3 linked regions of the Caenorhabditis elegans genome follow. The protein of the gene in region 3 interacts with the protein of the main gene of each other region in a pairwise test. Each region holds a gene or a part of one and is shown on either strand. Other genes may lie near its edges.

The links. The genes of interacting proteins can lie anywhere in the genome.
Region 1: the proteins of flh-3 (region 3) and zip-12 interact in a two-hybrid assay, tested with the Caenorhabditis elegans proteins (one large-scale study listed by BioGRID).
Region 2: the proteins of flh-3 (region 3) and zfh-2 interact in a two-hybrid assay, tested with the Caenorhabditis elegans proteins (one large-scale study listed by BioGRID).

The regions. Positions count from the first base shown.
Region 1 is NC_003281.10:12,326,058-12,332,794, reverse strand, and holds zip-12 (BZIP domain-containing protein), read right to left. Parts: upstream 5,129-6,737; 5' UTR 4,849-5,128; coding exon of another isoform or gene 4,810-4,848; intron 3,332-4,809; 5' UTR 3,331-3,331; coding exon 2,983-3,330; intron 2,223-2,982; coding exon 1,923-2,222; intron 1,131-1,922; coding exon 978-1,130; intron 755-977; coding exon 533-754; 3' UTR 521-532; downstream 1-520.
Region 2 is NC_003279.8:801,617-806,387, reverse strand, and holds the start of zfh-2 (Zinc Finger and Homeobox), read right to left. Parts: upstream 3,021-4,771; 5' UTR 2,987-3,020; coding exon 2,914-2,986; intron 2,589-2,913; exon of another isoform or gene 2,516-2,588; intron 2,044-2,515; coding exon 1,966-2,043; intron 1,919-1,965; coding exon 1,493-1,918; intron 789-1,492; coding exon 508-788; intron 1-507.
Region 3 is NC_003282.8:9,268,268-9,272,449, reverse strand, and holds flh-3 (FLYWCH transcription factor 3), read right to left. Parts: upstream 2,355-4,182; 5' UTR 2,354-2,354; coding exon 2,024-2,353; intron 1,926-2,023; coding exon 1,587-1,925; intron 1,481-1,586; coding exon 1,085-1,480; intron 1,030-1,084; coding exon 832-1,029; 3' UTR 512-831; downstream 1-511. UniProt on the Caenorhabditis elegans protein: Probable transcription factor. May bind to the promoters of target genes, including micro-RNA genes, in order to repress expression, and acting redundantly with flh-2.

The sequences.
Region 1 (6,737 bases), on a different chromosome or scaffold from region 3:
AATTGCCGGTTTGCCAAACTTGCCAGAAAATTTCCATTCCGAAAAATTGCCGGTTCACCTAACTTGTCAGAAAATTTCCATTCCGAAAAATTGCCGGTTTGCCTAACTTGCCAGAAAATTCAATTATGGCAATGTTGCGATTATCGTTTTGAAATTCTGAAATTTCCAGAAAATAAACTTGCAAACCCACAACTTGCCGAAGTGTTTTTTTCCGGCAAATTGCCGATTTGCCGCACTTGCCGGAAATTTTCCTTTCCGTCAAATTGCCGAATTGCCGGAAATTTCAATTCCGGCAATTTGTCGATTTGCCGGAAATTTACAAATTCGGCAATTTGCTGGTTTGACAGAAAATTTCCATTCCGAAAAATTGCCGGTTTGCCTAACTTGTCAGAAAATATCCAGTCCGGCAAATTGCCGGTTCGCCGAACTTGCCGGAAATGTTCCATTCCGGCAAAAATATTTAGACTACAAGGAGAATAAATGAATAAGAACACATTTTCAAAAAGTACAACCATCGGATAAATTCCATAATTTATTTAACAACAGATTCTTTATCATCATTATCATTTTGTAACAAACACAAATTATCAGCAACAAAACGGCACAGCTCTTCCAAATCCAAAGTTTTATTGTTTTTAATTAGTTGATCTAACATGTCTTTAGGAATTGAGGTGACTAGGGGAGCAGCTTTTGGTACCGTTTGCTTAACATATTCGTCTGCCAACTCGGCAAGTTTTGTCTCACGATGATGCTCCTGTAATAAGTTATTTTTAAAAAAATATTCTGGAAAAATTTACAATTTTATTGGGAAATTCTAAAAAATGAACTAAAATTACATGATTCGTCTCGAAATAAAATTTTTTTCAACTAGAACTTTAGGCTAATTTAGGCCAATTTTTGAGCATTCTCCCCAATGTTTCAGTTAACGGGATTTTCTTCATTTTGACTGTTTCAGGTAAGAATTTATATAAACGAACATGTTCATGTGCAGATATTTGATACAAATGCTGTCTCCACTCCATTTGCTGCTTTGCTCGGATTTTTCGGGAACCTAAAGTCCCAATTACTCCGTTTTTTAGACGTAGGTCTTCAGCAGCTTTTTCAAATTCTTCTCGAGCACTGGCGAGCCTCTATAATTTGGTTAATAATTTTAAAATTGACTTTTCAAAAGAAAAAGTCGGAAATTCAGAAATTCCACAAAAAAAGTTTAAAAACGGGATTTACAAACTAAGGAGAACTCCCCGACCAATCACCATCTTTGAACTACGCCCACTCGATCTGATTGGTGGAAAAGTGGGCGGAGCAAATCGCTGATTGGTCGCAGTTCTCAGTTTTGCATTTTTGAAAAAACTCAAACTAAAGTAGGACTTTTTTATTTATTCGCTATTTTTTTGACAAATCGGCAAATCGGCAAATTGAAAAATTCCGGCAAATCGGCAAATTGAAAATTTTCGGCAAAACGGCAAATTGAAAAATTCCGGCAAACCGGCAAATTGAAAATTTCCGGCAAATCGGCAAATTGAAAACTTCCGGCAAATCGGCAAACTGATGGAATTGAAAATTTCCGGCAAATCGGCAAATTGCAGGAATTGAAAAATTTCCAGCAATTCGACAAATCAACAAATTGCCGGTATTGAAAGTTTCCGGCAAATCGGCATATTGCCGGAATTTATAATTTCTGGCAAATCGGAAAATTGCCGTTATTGAAAATTCCCGGCAAATCGGCAAATTGCCGGAATTGAAAAATTCCGGCAAATCGGTAAATTGAAAATTTCCGCAAATCGTCAAACTTCAGGAGTTGAAAATTTCCGGCAAATCGACAAATTGCCGGAATTGAAAATTTCTGGCAAATCGGCTAACCGGCAAAATAAATTTTCGGCAAATTGGTCACTTTTTTTTTGAAATTTAGAGAAAAAACCTACATGAAAATTCAAATTAACAGTTTCATCCTGTGCAAACATTTCAGCAAACTTCTTATTCAATTCCATTTTCTCATTTTCATATTCCAATTTCAGCCGTTCTACTCCAATTTCTGACATCATTTTTCTCAAATCCACTGCAAAATTCGCATTTTTCTCTTTTATCGCCGTTTTATTTTTGAGAAGTTGAATGCGTTTTTTGATTTGATTACTTCGAATTTCCGCATGCTTTCGTTGATCTTTTTTCTTTTGAACACACTTTCGGGCGTACTCACGGTTTTTGGCCATTTGACGGTGACGTTCCTGAATAATTTGGATTTAAAATTGATATTCTTGCCAAAGTTGAAATTTCCGGCAAATTGGCAAATTGCCGATATTGAAATTTCCAGCAAATCGGCATTTTTTGTCGAAAATCAAAATTCCGGCAAATCGGCAGTTTTTTGCCGAAAATCAAAATTCCGGCAGATCGGCAGTTTTATTGCGGAAAAGCAAAATTTCCGGCAAATCGGCATTTTTTTTTTGCTGAAAATCAAATTTTCCGGCAAATTTTTTTCGGGCAAAATTGGGAAATCGAAAAATTGCCGGAATTGAAAATTTCCGGCAAATCGGCAAATTGATGGAATTGAAAATTTCCGGCAAATCGGCAAAATCGATGGAATTGAAAATTTCCGGCAAATCGGTAAGTTTCAGGAATTGAAAACTTCCAGCAAATCGGCAAATCAGCAAACTGCCGGAATTTAAAGCTTCCGGCAAATCGGAAAATCGGTACATTTTCGGAATTGAAAACTTCCGGCAAACGGCAAATCGGCAGTTTTTTTTTGCCGGAAATCATAATTTTTTGCAAATCGGCAAACCATCAATTTGCCGATTTGCCAAATTCGTCGACAAAAAAATTTGCTGAGCCCCAATTGCTATCCTGATTTGAGTGAGGCTTTTCAGAAAAATTTGGAAATTATTTTCAGATATAACAAATCTTTTTCTACACTACAAAAAATAGGCGTTAGGCGGGCATGTACATCTAACCTAAATTTTGTACTAGAAGTTGTAAAAAATCCACACAAACCTGTTCTCTCTTGTCCATCTTACTCGGATCTTTATTCAATTTCTTAAATTCCTCTTCCCACTCCAAATCCCCATCTGTATCCATCTTTGAGTAGCCTTCATTGTAATTATTATCAGTGTACTCATCTTCTATATCATCCAACATCTTCGCCTCTACTTCTTGTTTTATCTCCACTGGACCCATGTTTTGCAGTTGGCTCATTAAAAAGTTGAATACAAAGTTCTGGGAGCCTGACGATTCATTGTTATCTGACGACTCGTGTTCCAGCTTTACCGAATTCTGGTTGTTTTGCGTGGAGTCAAAGTGTTTTAGAATCATGTCACGACTGCCACTTGTTTCGTTATTCATTCTGTAAAATTTGGAATTTTTTGGTCTTGTCTGAAACTTTCGGGCCAGGCCCAATTGTGCATTTTAAAAAATTTTTCGCATCGTCTTTCGCTTATTGGTTCCTCGTCTTTCGCTTATTGGTTCGCGACTGTTTTTGTAACGAACTTATGAGAAAGTTTGCTGATTCTTATCAAAACACTAATTTTGCCGATTTGCCAGAAATTTTGATTTTCGGCAAATTGCCGATTTGCCAGAAATTTTAAAAGGGATTTTTCAACATTAATGTAGGAAAAAAGTTTGCCGATTAAAATTGAAATTTTGAAATTTCCAAAAAAAAAGTGCAAAATCATAATTTGCCAAACATTTTCGGCAAAAGGCGTTTTTCCGGAAATTTCGGCAAATCGACAGTTTGCCGCTTTTCCGATTTGGCGGAAATTTTTAATTCCTGCAATTTGCGGATTTGCCCGATTTGCCGGAAATTTCAATTCCGGCAATTTACCGATCTTCCGGAAATTTTAATTCCGGCAATTTGCCGATTTTCCGGAAATTTTCAGTTCCGGCATTTTGCCGATTTGCCGGAAATTTTTAATTCCGGCAATTTACCGGTAATTTTTAGGTCCGGCAATTTGCCGATTTGTCCGATCATCCGGGAATTTTAATTCCGGCATTTTACCGATTTAAAGGAAATTTCAATTCCGGCAATTTTCCGATTTGCCGGAAATTTTAATTCCGGCAATTTGCCGATATGCCCGATTTGCCGGAAATAGTTAATTCCGGCAATTTGCCAATTTACCGGAATTTTTTAATTCCGGCAATTTACCGGTAATTTTTAGGTCCGGCAATTTGCCGATTTGTCCGATCATCCGGGAATTTTAATTCCGGCATTTTACCGATTTAAAGGAAATTTCAGTTTCGACATATTGCTGATTTTCCGGAAGTTTTCAATTCCGGCAATTTGCCGATATGCCCGATTTGCCGGAAATAGTTAATTCCGGCAATTTTCCGATTTGCCGGAAATTTTAATTCCGGCAATTTGCCGATATGCCCGATTTGCCGGAAATAGTTAATTCCGGCAATTTTCCGATTTGCCGGAAATTTTTAATTCCGGCAATTTGCCGATATGCCCGATTTGCCGGAAATAGTTAATTCCGGCAATTTGCCAATTTACCGGAAATTTTTAATTCCGGCAATTTGCCGATTTGCCGGTAATTTTTTATTCCGGCAAATTGCCGACTTGCCGATTTCGCCAAACGACAATTGCCACCCACCCTGTTTTGGACGCGAGATATACATACACGTCGCCAGCAACCGGCAATTGCCAAAGTTTCTGCAACCGGCAGCTTCTGGTTGCGGAAACTTCGGAACTTCGGCAATTTGGCCCCTAATGTAAGAGCCCTGATGCCCATCGTGAACTCACTGATGCATTCAGGAATCTACAGTAATCATCAAGGGCGGAGCTTGATCCTTCCATATTTTCCTAACCAAAATTTCAAAACATACCTATCCCCAGTTCCTTAGATTCAAAATCGTCGTTGTCAGTCAAAAAAAAGGCAAGAGACCAATGGTGGGGGAGACAGTGTGTGTGTGTGTGTGTGTGTGATAAGAGAACACAACTTCTTGCTAAGAAGAGTGAAGACAGTGAATGCATGATGTTTGCCTGCATCATGACATCGTTTGATTGTATTGAATAGAGGAGGAGGGCAGCATCAAAAAAATGAGAAATAGTCAGAGGAAAGATGTGAGAGCCTTAGAGAAAACAGAGTAGGAAATACTGTGCGACATACTTGGTATCTGAGCAGTGGTTGAGACAGTGGGGGGGGGGGGGGACAGTGAAGGTGATTAGCAAGATTGATAAGAGACTGTTGATGGGGGATGGGCACTGATTGCTGTAATTTCCAATACATCGCAATTGTACATTCGATGGATGTAAATGCAATTGACAGATTAATTAGGTATTATATTGTATAAAAATGGGTTGGAAAGGCATATCAAAAGCTGAAAAAAGGTATCTATAGAAACCCATTCCAAAACCAAATTTCAGAAGCATCACGTGGTGCTAGGCTGTCCCATTACGGTTTGATCTACAAAAAATGCGGGAATTTTTCGCCCAAAAATATGTGACGTCAGCACGTTCTTAACCATGCAAAATCAGTTGAGAACTCTGCGTCTCTTTCCCCGCAATTTTTGTAGATCAAACCGAAATGGGACGCAATGAAGCATTACAATGAAGCATTACAGCGAAAAATGAAAGATAAATCTTTCCAGGACATGTAGCAAAAGCGGTTCTGTGGCTCGAGAAAGGTTTGAAAAAATGAAGAACAATGTATTCTTGAGCAGAATCCATGTAATATTTTGGTAGTTGAAACCCTGATTTTAGAATTTATCCAAATGAATTCTCGGAATTTTCAGTTTTAATAATATAATTCATTAGATTCACAGTGAAGTGAAACCTGATTAAAAAAGGATTAAAGGACGAAATATAATTTTTGTCTGAAGCCTACAGGAAAAATGTTTCATTGTTGAAGTGGAAATTTTCATTTTCGACAATTTGCCGGTTTGCCGGAAATTTTTGTTTTAGACAAATTGCCGATTTGTCGGAAACGTTCAGTTCCGGCAATTTGCCGATTTGCCGGAAATTTTCAGTTACGACAATTTGCCGATTTTCCAGGAATTTTCAGTTCCGGCAATTTTCTGATTTGCCAAAAAAAAATTACGGCAATTTGCCGAGTTGCCATTTGCCGGATATCAGATTTGCCGGAAATTTTTAGAGGGGTTTTTTTAAAGACGGAAACACTTAAAACTGTGCCTTTTTGAAAAATTCGTTTCCTGTTATGTTTAGATATTTTCATAGAACTTGCTTTTTTATTTTGACAAAAATTTCCGGCTATTGCAGTTTTTCAATCCGGCAAATAGACGATTTGCCAATTTGCCGATATGCTGTAAATTTTCAAATCCGGCAATTGCCGTTTTTCTGGCCAATTCGGCAAAAAGACATTTTGCCGATTTGCCGATTTGCCGGAAATTTTTAATTCCAGCAACTTGCCGATTTGAAATGTGTTTTCCAAGTCTACATTTAATGATAAAGTATAGAAAAGTATTTGATTTGATTGAAAACAACTATAATTTGGATTGGAAAAACTGAAAAAGTGCTGAAAGTTTATCTGGAAGTTGAAACTGCTCGAAAAAAAATGTAAACCTTTAAAAAAATTTTCGAGGACTTTTCAGTTTTTTAAATTTAAAGGGTGAAGTAATCTTTAGTAGTAGGAAAACTAGTTTTCAAAATCTTTCGTTTTAATAGGAATTTCAATATTTTATAGATTGACCAACCTAAAAAAGCTTTTTTTCATCAAGTTTTATTATCATATTGCATCCAGTTTTCCAGTTTTTTTTCTAGAATTCACTAAATTTATCAAAAATAGCGGCCCATG
Region 2 (4,771 bases), on a different chromosome or scaffold from region 3:
TTAGGCTCAGACTACGCGGGGGAAGGGAGAGAAAAATAAATTCCAAAAAATTGAAAATTTATGAAAAACTAAAATAATTCAAGAAAAACTCCCCGCCACGCCTACCGGACCTTAAATTTTTTGCGTGCAAAGACCCTATAATCAATTACGCCTTGCTTGGGCTCCGCCACGAACACTTTCGCGTCAGAACCAAAACCTAGTAATGATTATACTTATTTTAAAGGTCTCAGCGTACTGAATTCAAAATTTTCACTACAATTTTGAGCTTTCTAGGGATATATTGAAATGTTCAAATTTTTGAATTTTTTTTTCAAAAATTGTAGAAAAAAGGCTTTAAAATACGAAAACTGTTAGCCTTGGCAAAGCAAATATTACTCATTACGCTATTAAATCATGAATTTATGTGTATATGCAAATCGGTGCGCATACACACACAGACACACAAAAATGGGAAAAGGGCGACACAATAAAAATAAGAAGATGATGAGAGGGGAATACAAAACTCACAATTTGAACCTTTTGCAGATGCTTATCCGTCCTTGTGTGTAGTTGAAAATTGGCTTTCAATGTGGTATTATACGGGCACAAGTGGCACCGGAAGCTCCCGTTTAGGACGGTAACGTCTCCTTGGAACGTCCTGGAACGGTCTTGTTCCACGTGTTCCATCATTTCGGCGATAGATTCGGTGGCGAAGATACCGCAGATCAAGCAGACCAGGGATCCGTCGGACTCTTCGATTGGACTACTTCGGCTAACTGGAGCACCACACGCGAAGTTGGCTGCGAATTCTGGAAAATTCAGGATATTTTTGAATTAAAATAATAAAAATCTTAAATCTGAATTCAGCTTAAGGCCTTTCAAATAAGTATAATCATGACCCATTTGGGTCCCACCACGAAAACACGGGATTCTGGTCTTCCTCATGTTTTAAAACAAAAATTGAGCCGCGACACGCAACGCGCCGTAAATCTACCCCAGATATGGCCGGCCTAGTTCGGCAAAAACTCTTCCATTTCAATTTATGAGAGAAGCCAGAAAACTACAGTACCCTCTCCCCCATTTTCGTGCCGAGACCCGGGAAATTTGGGTCTCGACGCGATTTTTATTGATTTCGATCTAAACTCAATTTTCTCAGTCTTTTCAAAATAAAACCAATTTATTAAAAAAATCAGAAAAGTTAGGGGCTTTAATCCAAATATAATCACGTCCATTTTTGGACAAGTGGGTCCCACCACGAAAACTACAGTACCCTTTGAGTGTAAGACCCACAGAACGTCAAATTAAAAAAATACTGTAAAATCGAATTTAGCTCACTGAGAACTCTAATTTGAGTATCATTTTTTAGGGTTCAAAAAAGTTGGCGTAAGTGTTTTTGCGTGGCGAGACCCTAGAATCGAAAAGTTCGAGTTCAACAGTTAAATTCTTGTGAAATTCAAATTCTTGGGTCCCACCACGAAAACTACAGTACCCTTCGCCTCCCCCCCCCACCTACCTATACTATTCGGGAGCTCTTGCACTGCATGAAGATGCTTATCACTTTGCATATGAATACTCAAATTGCCCTTTGTCGTCGTACTGTACCGACACAAATCGCATCGATATGGCTTATAACCGCACGAGTACGTCTCACCGCGAGCCAGCTTCGGGTGGGGACGGTTCTCGGCACAAAACATGCACTTGACATCCACATCGTTGTGCTTCTCCTTCATATGAATTTCAAGGGTCTCCTGGTACTTGTAGTGCCAATTACACTTTGGACATTTCAGCGTTTTCGACGAATTTCGGAGTGATGAGAATTGGGAAATGTCGGCGAACGCGCCGAGCGTCGGATCGAACGGAAACGAGGAGGAGAGGCTCGCCTCGTCGAAGCCTGACGCGGCGAGAATCCGTCCCAGCTGACATTTTGTGTTTTCGTTGGCTGAAATTTTTCGGGAAATTGCGGAAAAAATTTGATCTATGACCTACCAAACATCTGAGCCGTCGAAGGATCCGTAAGAAGTCGCATTATCTCCGCAGAATCTGGCATCATTGGTGGTGATGTTTCTGAAAGAGAGAACTTTAGTTTTTTAGTCCTATGGAATGTGGTTCTTCCGCCGCGGCTGACACTTTTCGGGCTCCACGCGCGGCACTATACACGGGGTTCTGGCCTTCCTTATTGAATTTTTCGCGCTCCATTGGCAATCGCCCGCCGGTCAACGCGTGGGCAAGTCGTGCACTCCACACGGACAAATACATTTAGTTTTACAACTAAAATCGAGCCCAGATGTGACCGAGCCAAGATGGCCTAGTTCGGCAAAAACTCTTCCATTTCAATTTATGAGGGAAGACAGAAGGCCGTGACTATACAGAAGGCGCGCCGCGAGTTAGGCGGAGGTCGCCGCAAAACTGGAGCAGCAGGCGTTTTGGAGGCCCTAGGCGCGCGCGGAACCCTGTACATGTCGGACCATGGTATCAGTTTCGCTATCTCTAGTGCACATTTAAAGCACATATGTACCTCCATCTTGAGAAAGAAATTTCATCTTGCAAGGAATCGAACCCCGGACCTATTGTTTAGAGCTGAAGCGTGTTAACCACTAGACTACAAGCGGCGCGACATGATTCTGGCGGTACTGTAAATTAAATACCACGACAATGCAAATGCGCTCTAGCGACGAACTCTAGTTTCAGAAAGCCAGGAGGTTCAAGGTACACGTGGTGTCAGAGTATGATCTACGTAGATCTACAAAAAAATGCGGGAGAAAAGATTTAAAAACTTGCTTATGTCACATTTTTTGGGGAAAAAATCCCGCATTTTCTGTAGATCAAAAAGCAATGGGACAACCTGGCACCACGTGAAGGTAACGTACCTTTGAAAATGATTTAAAAAAAAAGAAGTCTTGGCCTAAAAATTATCGGTCCCCCGGCCAAACTCACCCCTACTCTCCGTAGACTCTGAACTTGTCGGCGGTTTGTTGTTGTCATCCATTGTCAAAAGTGCCACGTCCATTCTACCATTTAGCCAATATATGGGCGGGGCAACTCTGGAAATTTTTTTGGATGAATTTGTGAGGAAAAAGTGAAAAAAAAATTTAAAAAACGCGAAAGTTGGAAAAGTGGAAAGTTTGAGAGTGATTTAAAATCTAATGAGTCGCAAATGAGAGAGAGAGAATCGGGGCGGGGGGGGAAGCGCGGAGCTCGCCCCACCACCACCACATGTGCTTGCAATTAATTAAATTTTCGAGGGAGCGGGGAGCCCAGGAGAGCCATCCCCGGAAGCTAAACTTCATAAACTTCAAATGAGCACTGAGAGTTGAGTTGACACCTGTGTTGTGAATGAATGTGAGGAGAGGTATTCGGGGGATAGTTACAACAACAATTACACAACACTGACAGGGGACTACGGTAACCATATGGAGGAGCTGGAGGAGCACACAAAACTTGAGACAATGTTCCCCGCATATGTTAGGGGGGTGCCGACACTCTCAGAAAAAAAAAACGGGGGACACTTTGTTTCTAATGGTGTTTCGCGTTTATTGGGTGATCATTGTGGAGATTCACACCTGCAGTTCTGACTACTGATTCATAAGATCACGGGAGCGGAAGCAGCAGCAGCGCAAGGGGTGTAAGAAAAATCATAACTTTGGGGTATGAAAATGGGATAAAGGAAACGGCAACGACAATTGTAGAACGAAAGTCGGAGGCCTAGGCAGGCGTGGCCTCAGGGCCTGATGCCTGCATTTTGGCATGAACTTACAAAATTTTGTAATTTCCGTATTTTTATCAATTTGATGAAAAACATTTTAAGAGATAAGGCTCGGATTGAGGCGAGAGGCAGGCGGAGGTCGCCTTAAAGTCAGGCAGGCAGGCAGAGAACGTCTGAAAGTCAAGCAGGCAGGCGAAAGTCGCCTGAAGGTCAGGCAGGCAAGCGTTTTAACGCCTACTTAAAAACCCTATTCAAGAGCTAGTTTATGAAAACTTTCTTCAAAACTCAAGTTTTACAAATTTTCTGAACATTTTTGAAACGAAAAATGGTTTGAATTTTTTAAAGCTGATTCTGTATGATCTACGTTTTGAGAAAAAAAATTTAATTTTTTCGGATTATTTTTTGAATATTATTTTAAATTTTATAGCAACTCTAAAAATTCGATATTTTTACAGATTTTCAGAAAAAATAGTAATTGCAAAAATTTTTAAGCTTTTTAAAAATGGCTTAGGCTTAGGCTTAGGCTTAGGCTGAGACTCAGGCTTAGTCTTAGGCTTAGGCTTGAACTCAGTCTTAGTCTTAGGCTTAGGCTTAAGCTTAGGTCTCAGCTTCGGCCCAGGCTTAGGCCTAGGCTTTGGCTTAGGCGTAGGCTTAGGCTTGGCGTCAGTGGGGGAGCGTGAGCTCCCACACTGACGCTATTTAGGGTTATTAGGCTTAGGCTCAGGCTTAGGCTTAGATAAACAAACATTTTTTTAAAATAAAAATTTAAAAATATTTCACTGAAAAACTGTTCAAAAAAGTTAAAGAAAAACGTTTTTTATCTGAAAAATTTTTTTAGGCTTAAAACAACTTTTTTGACTAATGTCTATTTTTTTTTGATTATATTTACAAAAAAAATATGGCTGAGCTCAAATTTTTAGGTCTGCAAAAAAAAGGATCCCCAGAAAAAGTGAGAATGAAGCGTGAGAGGAGCAATAAAATGGGCGGGGCGCCACACGAAGAGCACCCTCGTTATAACTGGCTGATTAGGCATTTGAGAAGAGGAAAGTTGAGGGAAGATGATGGGTGTGGAAAAAGTGAGGCGTGGCC
Region 3 (4,182 bases):
ACTGATTGGAATCAAAAACCTAACCGGGTGACAGATCACTTTTGGAGCAATATAGTAATTTTGTATATATAACCTTACACTAAAAATGCCGCTTAAACATTTGCTATTTACATCTATCCGTATAATTGTGTATTAGAACAGATACATGGAAATTGAAGTTTTGAACTTATCCATTTGTGTTTTTTCTTTGAATAATTGCTATTTTAAAGATTGTGTACATTGCAAAAATGGAGTGCTTCTAGAAATGTTCATAAAGTGTGGACTACCTGTGGGGAAATTAATCAAAAAACCATTGATTTGGTATAATGTCATGATGAAACGTTTGAAAAATCCTGGAAATTTTTTTTTGAAAAGTTTTATTATGATATTTTGCTATTCAGGACCTGTAATGTGCTTTAATTATTTTCCCCACAGGCCGTAGTCCACCTTTAACAAGATGTCAAAGTTTGCCAGGGCGTTTCAGCCGAACGGCGAGGCGAGGAAATCTCTTTATGATTTCTCAATTGAACTTTTTCAATACTGATATTTATAAAATAACTCCGTATTTGGTTAGTTTATAAGTTAGAGAGATGAAGGGAAAAATGACAACCAAACAAGAAGAGGAGGAAGATTGGCGATACAATGAAAAGAGATCATTTGGAAAATAATTTAAAACTCGTGAAATACAAATTTCGAATCGATGAAAGTTTGGAATGGAGCACCCGATAAAATGAAAGTGGGTCGGGAATGAAATATTTGAGGGCAATATGCGCTCTTTAGTACAAATAACTAGCAATCGGAAGTACATTGAATATGAACTTGATAATAAAAATAAACAAAAACATAGTTAATTTAATCTTGAAGTTTGGAAACATGATGGATTTTCCAAAAGTTTGGTTTTGAGGAATCTAATCGAATAAATTCCTCGGTTCTCCATTGATCGATCATTTGCTGTGATAGGGGAACATTGATTTTGGATGAAATATTCATCATTAGTGAACGATTGGATACTTTTTGAAGGTGTTCTTGAATTGCTTGACGAATTGATTTCTGAAAAATTCCGATTTCTGTACTGTTCAAATCGAAGGTTCACTGTTTTACTTACCTCATTCCTTTCAGAAACTCGAATCATTTGAAATACTGAATCATTTTCATGTTGATCAGCCACAAAGAGAACTAGTTCATCATTGTGTGCATTTGGAAAGAATACTGGAAGATCTCCATTTCTGCTAATCAAATCAGTTCTCAATTCTCTGTTCTCCAACAAAAACTTTGTCAACGTCATCTCCATATCGTGTATTTCCATTTCTGAGATCTTGTTAAAAAGATCAGGAAGTCGAAGTGTGATTGGTTTACGTCCATCGCAATTATTTGTCATACTTAGAAGAATATTCATTGTTGAAGCATTCTTTTGTTCAGTTTTTGTAGAAAGAGTTTCATCTTCCAAATCAGATTTTGGAGTGAGAAGTGATGGTGGCAATAGGTTCTTGGTTTGTTGAGGCTGAAAAGTTAAACATTTTGATAAAGATAATTATGATTCCAACTCTAAAAAACAGCCTTAGGATGGTCCGACTCTAATGAAACTAGAAATAAAAAATAAAACTAACCCCATTGAGAGATAAGATGTGTCCTGATTTGACTTTTCCATAATCAATATTGTAATGTGCAAGATCAAAAGTAGTTGGTGGTGGATGATTGTGAACTTGTACTTTATGAATGACTCGTTCAGCATCAAATGGTGTATGAATACGTGCTGGACAAGTATTCTTTCGTTCACATCTGAAGAATCTCTTCTTGCTATCATATGAGCACTTGTCGAACACGTAGAGATGTTCATCAAAAAGTACACGTTCACGAATTCCACGTGGAGTGTACGGCTTCGAGCTGTTCGGTGAAGATTGTCTCTGAGCCTTGTTGATTTTTCCGATTAGCACGTCTTTCACTGTCTGTAAATTGAAATGAATAAAGATTAGAAACGATAAATTTTAAACAAAAATATTACACTTTATAAATTCAAAAAATTGAAGTTTAAGTGAAAACTTACAATTTGGTCTTCATCGGTACTGCTCATAACACTGCTACTACTGCTTGGCTGTGAATCTGGAGAAGTCGAAGATCGGAGGACATCAACCATGATGGGAATTTGTTGTGTAAGTGAGTCAAGGATCGCCTGTTGCTGTGCTTTCATTTTCAGTTCTTCCATTTCTTTCTTCTTTTTTTCATCTTCTGAAGCTTTCAGTTTTGCTTGGTGATCTGCGTACATTTTCTGCAAAAGAGCCAGTTGACCATCGTTCAATTTTGATACGTAGTTCTTTGCCCATTCCATAGTTGCATTTCCTGTTTTTGCTTGAGAAATTTGAGACGCAAGGTTCATTCTGAAAAGTTAGAACATAAATGTAAAGAAGTAGAAAATAAAAGAACTTAAACTTAGAGATTACAGCCTGCACTGTTAGTTTTTTTTTGAAAAATGTGCGTAGATCACAAGACTTATAAGTGACCTTCAGAAAAAAAACAAAAAACAAAAAAAACAACAAAAAAATTCTAGAAAAATAGATAGTGTGACCTGAGAGTTATCTACCCAATTTTGCACAGAAACGTTCATAGATCTTCAAAAATGAGGAAATACGGTAGATGAAAATAATGGGAATGGAAGATGTATGAAGAATTAGAGAGGGATGAACATGTATTAAAAAACAGTGAGCTGATTAAACGAAGATTCAATACGAAGATTCAGTCGTCTCCGAAGCATTCAATACAAAGACAGTCACACATCTGTAGGGACCACAGCCAACGAAAAAGTGGTGCATGTGCGAGAGATGGATCGGAAGATCGGCGCGCGAGGCAGACACTGAGGAACAAACAATGATCCACTGAGTTTAGAAATAGACAGCAGCTGTCTGCTATTATAGTTTTGTATTAGATGAATTAATGAATAGGAACCAGAAAAAACGTTCGAGGATCATGTGTAACCTGCCGGGTTCCCAAGTTTAGAGGATTAATATATCAAATTGCAACGGGAAGAAATAGCATATTTATATTCAATACAAAGTTTAAAATTAATTAAAGAGTTTTCAAAGTTACGAGCTAAACTAGAAAAGTGGTTAAAATTGGGAGCGACGTGGGAGCCCCTAGATGGGAATGTTGTCAAAGTTAAAATCGCACTGCTAATACAAAAATATCGATTCGATGGCCGGGACGCCAAGCACTATCCTACTCTCATACACACATACACACACACGCCCACAAGAACGGACCACCCAAAAAACGGGGCGACGAGACTGGAGAAGAAAGAGAACGCTGTGATGTATGTGTGGAGGGGGAGTGAGCACACCACTGCAACACCATTGGCAGGGGTGAACTGGTCCGTGCGCAGACAAGCGCGCGCGGGAGGGGTCCTCCCGTCTTTTTGGCTCCCTCTCTGATTGTCTACGTCTCGCCGATTCACAGGCTCTTTTGATGAAGAGGACGCTGTCGAGGAAAAGAGGAACAGGCTGCGTTTTCGACGGTTCGCTTTGGCTACAAGAGAGGAGACAGGGAGAGATAGATAGAACCGGGAAGAATAACCTATATTTGGAAGAAGGAGTTGGTGAGGTCATTCTAGATAGGAAATAAACTGATTCGAGCAGAAGTGACAATATGCGATAATTCTGCAAGAGAGAAATTCGGAATCGGTTGGTAAGCAACGAATAAAAATTTCAGGTTACTGTACCAGCTTTTGGTTGCTTTGAGATAAAAAGTAGTCTAACACATAAACCCGTCGAAATATGTGAAATTCCAATTTTGATTTTCAAAGCACAATAATCCGAGTGGTTCAATAGATCTACTGTAAGACCTAGAGACCATCAAATTCATAAAAAGAGCCGCCAAACTGTTGCGTATTATCGCTCTAAACCTCTCAAAACATTTGGCAAAACATACACATTTATTTGCACGGGACACTAAAAAATGAGACGGGACCCCCGACCATCAGGCAGATGACAACAGTTTTAGACAACAGAATGAAACTGTGTGCAACAAAATGGAATGGTGGGGCATGTGAGAAGGGAGGCGATGTGCTCTATGATTGATTGAAAGACAATAGATCTTAATTGAGAAGAGGGCGACGATAAATTCACAATTTCTTCGATTGGTGGAAAATATAAAGTGATTAATTGCAGATGATTTCGGGGTTGGAAGCATAGAGTCGACATACAGGGTGGCTAT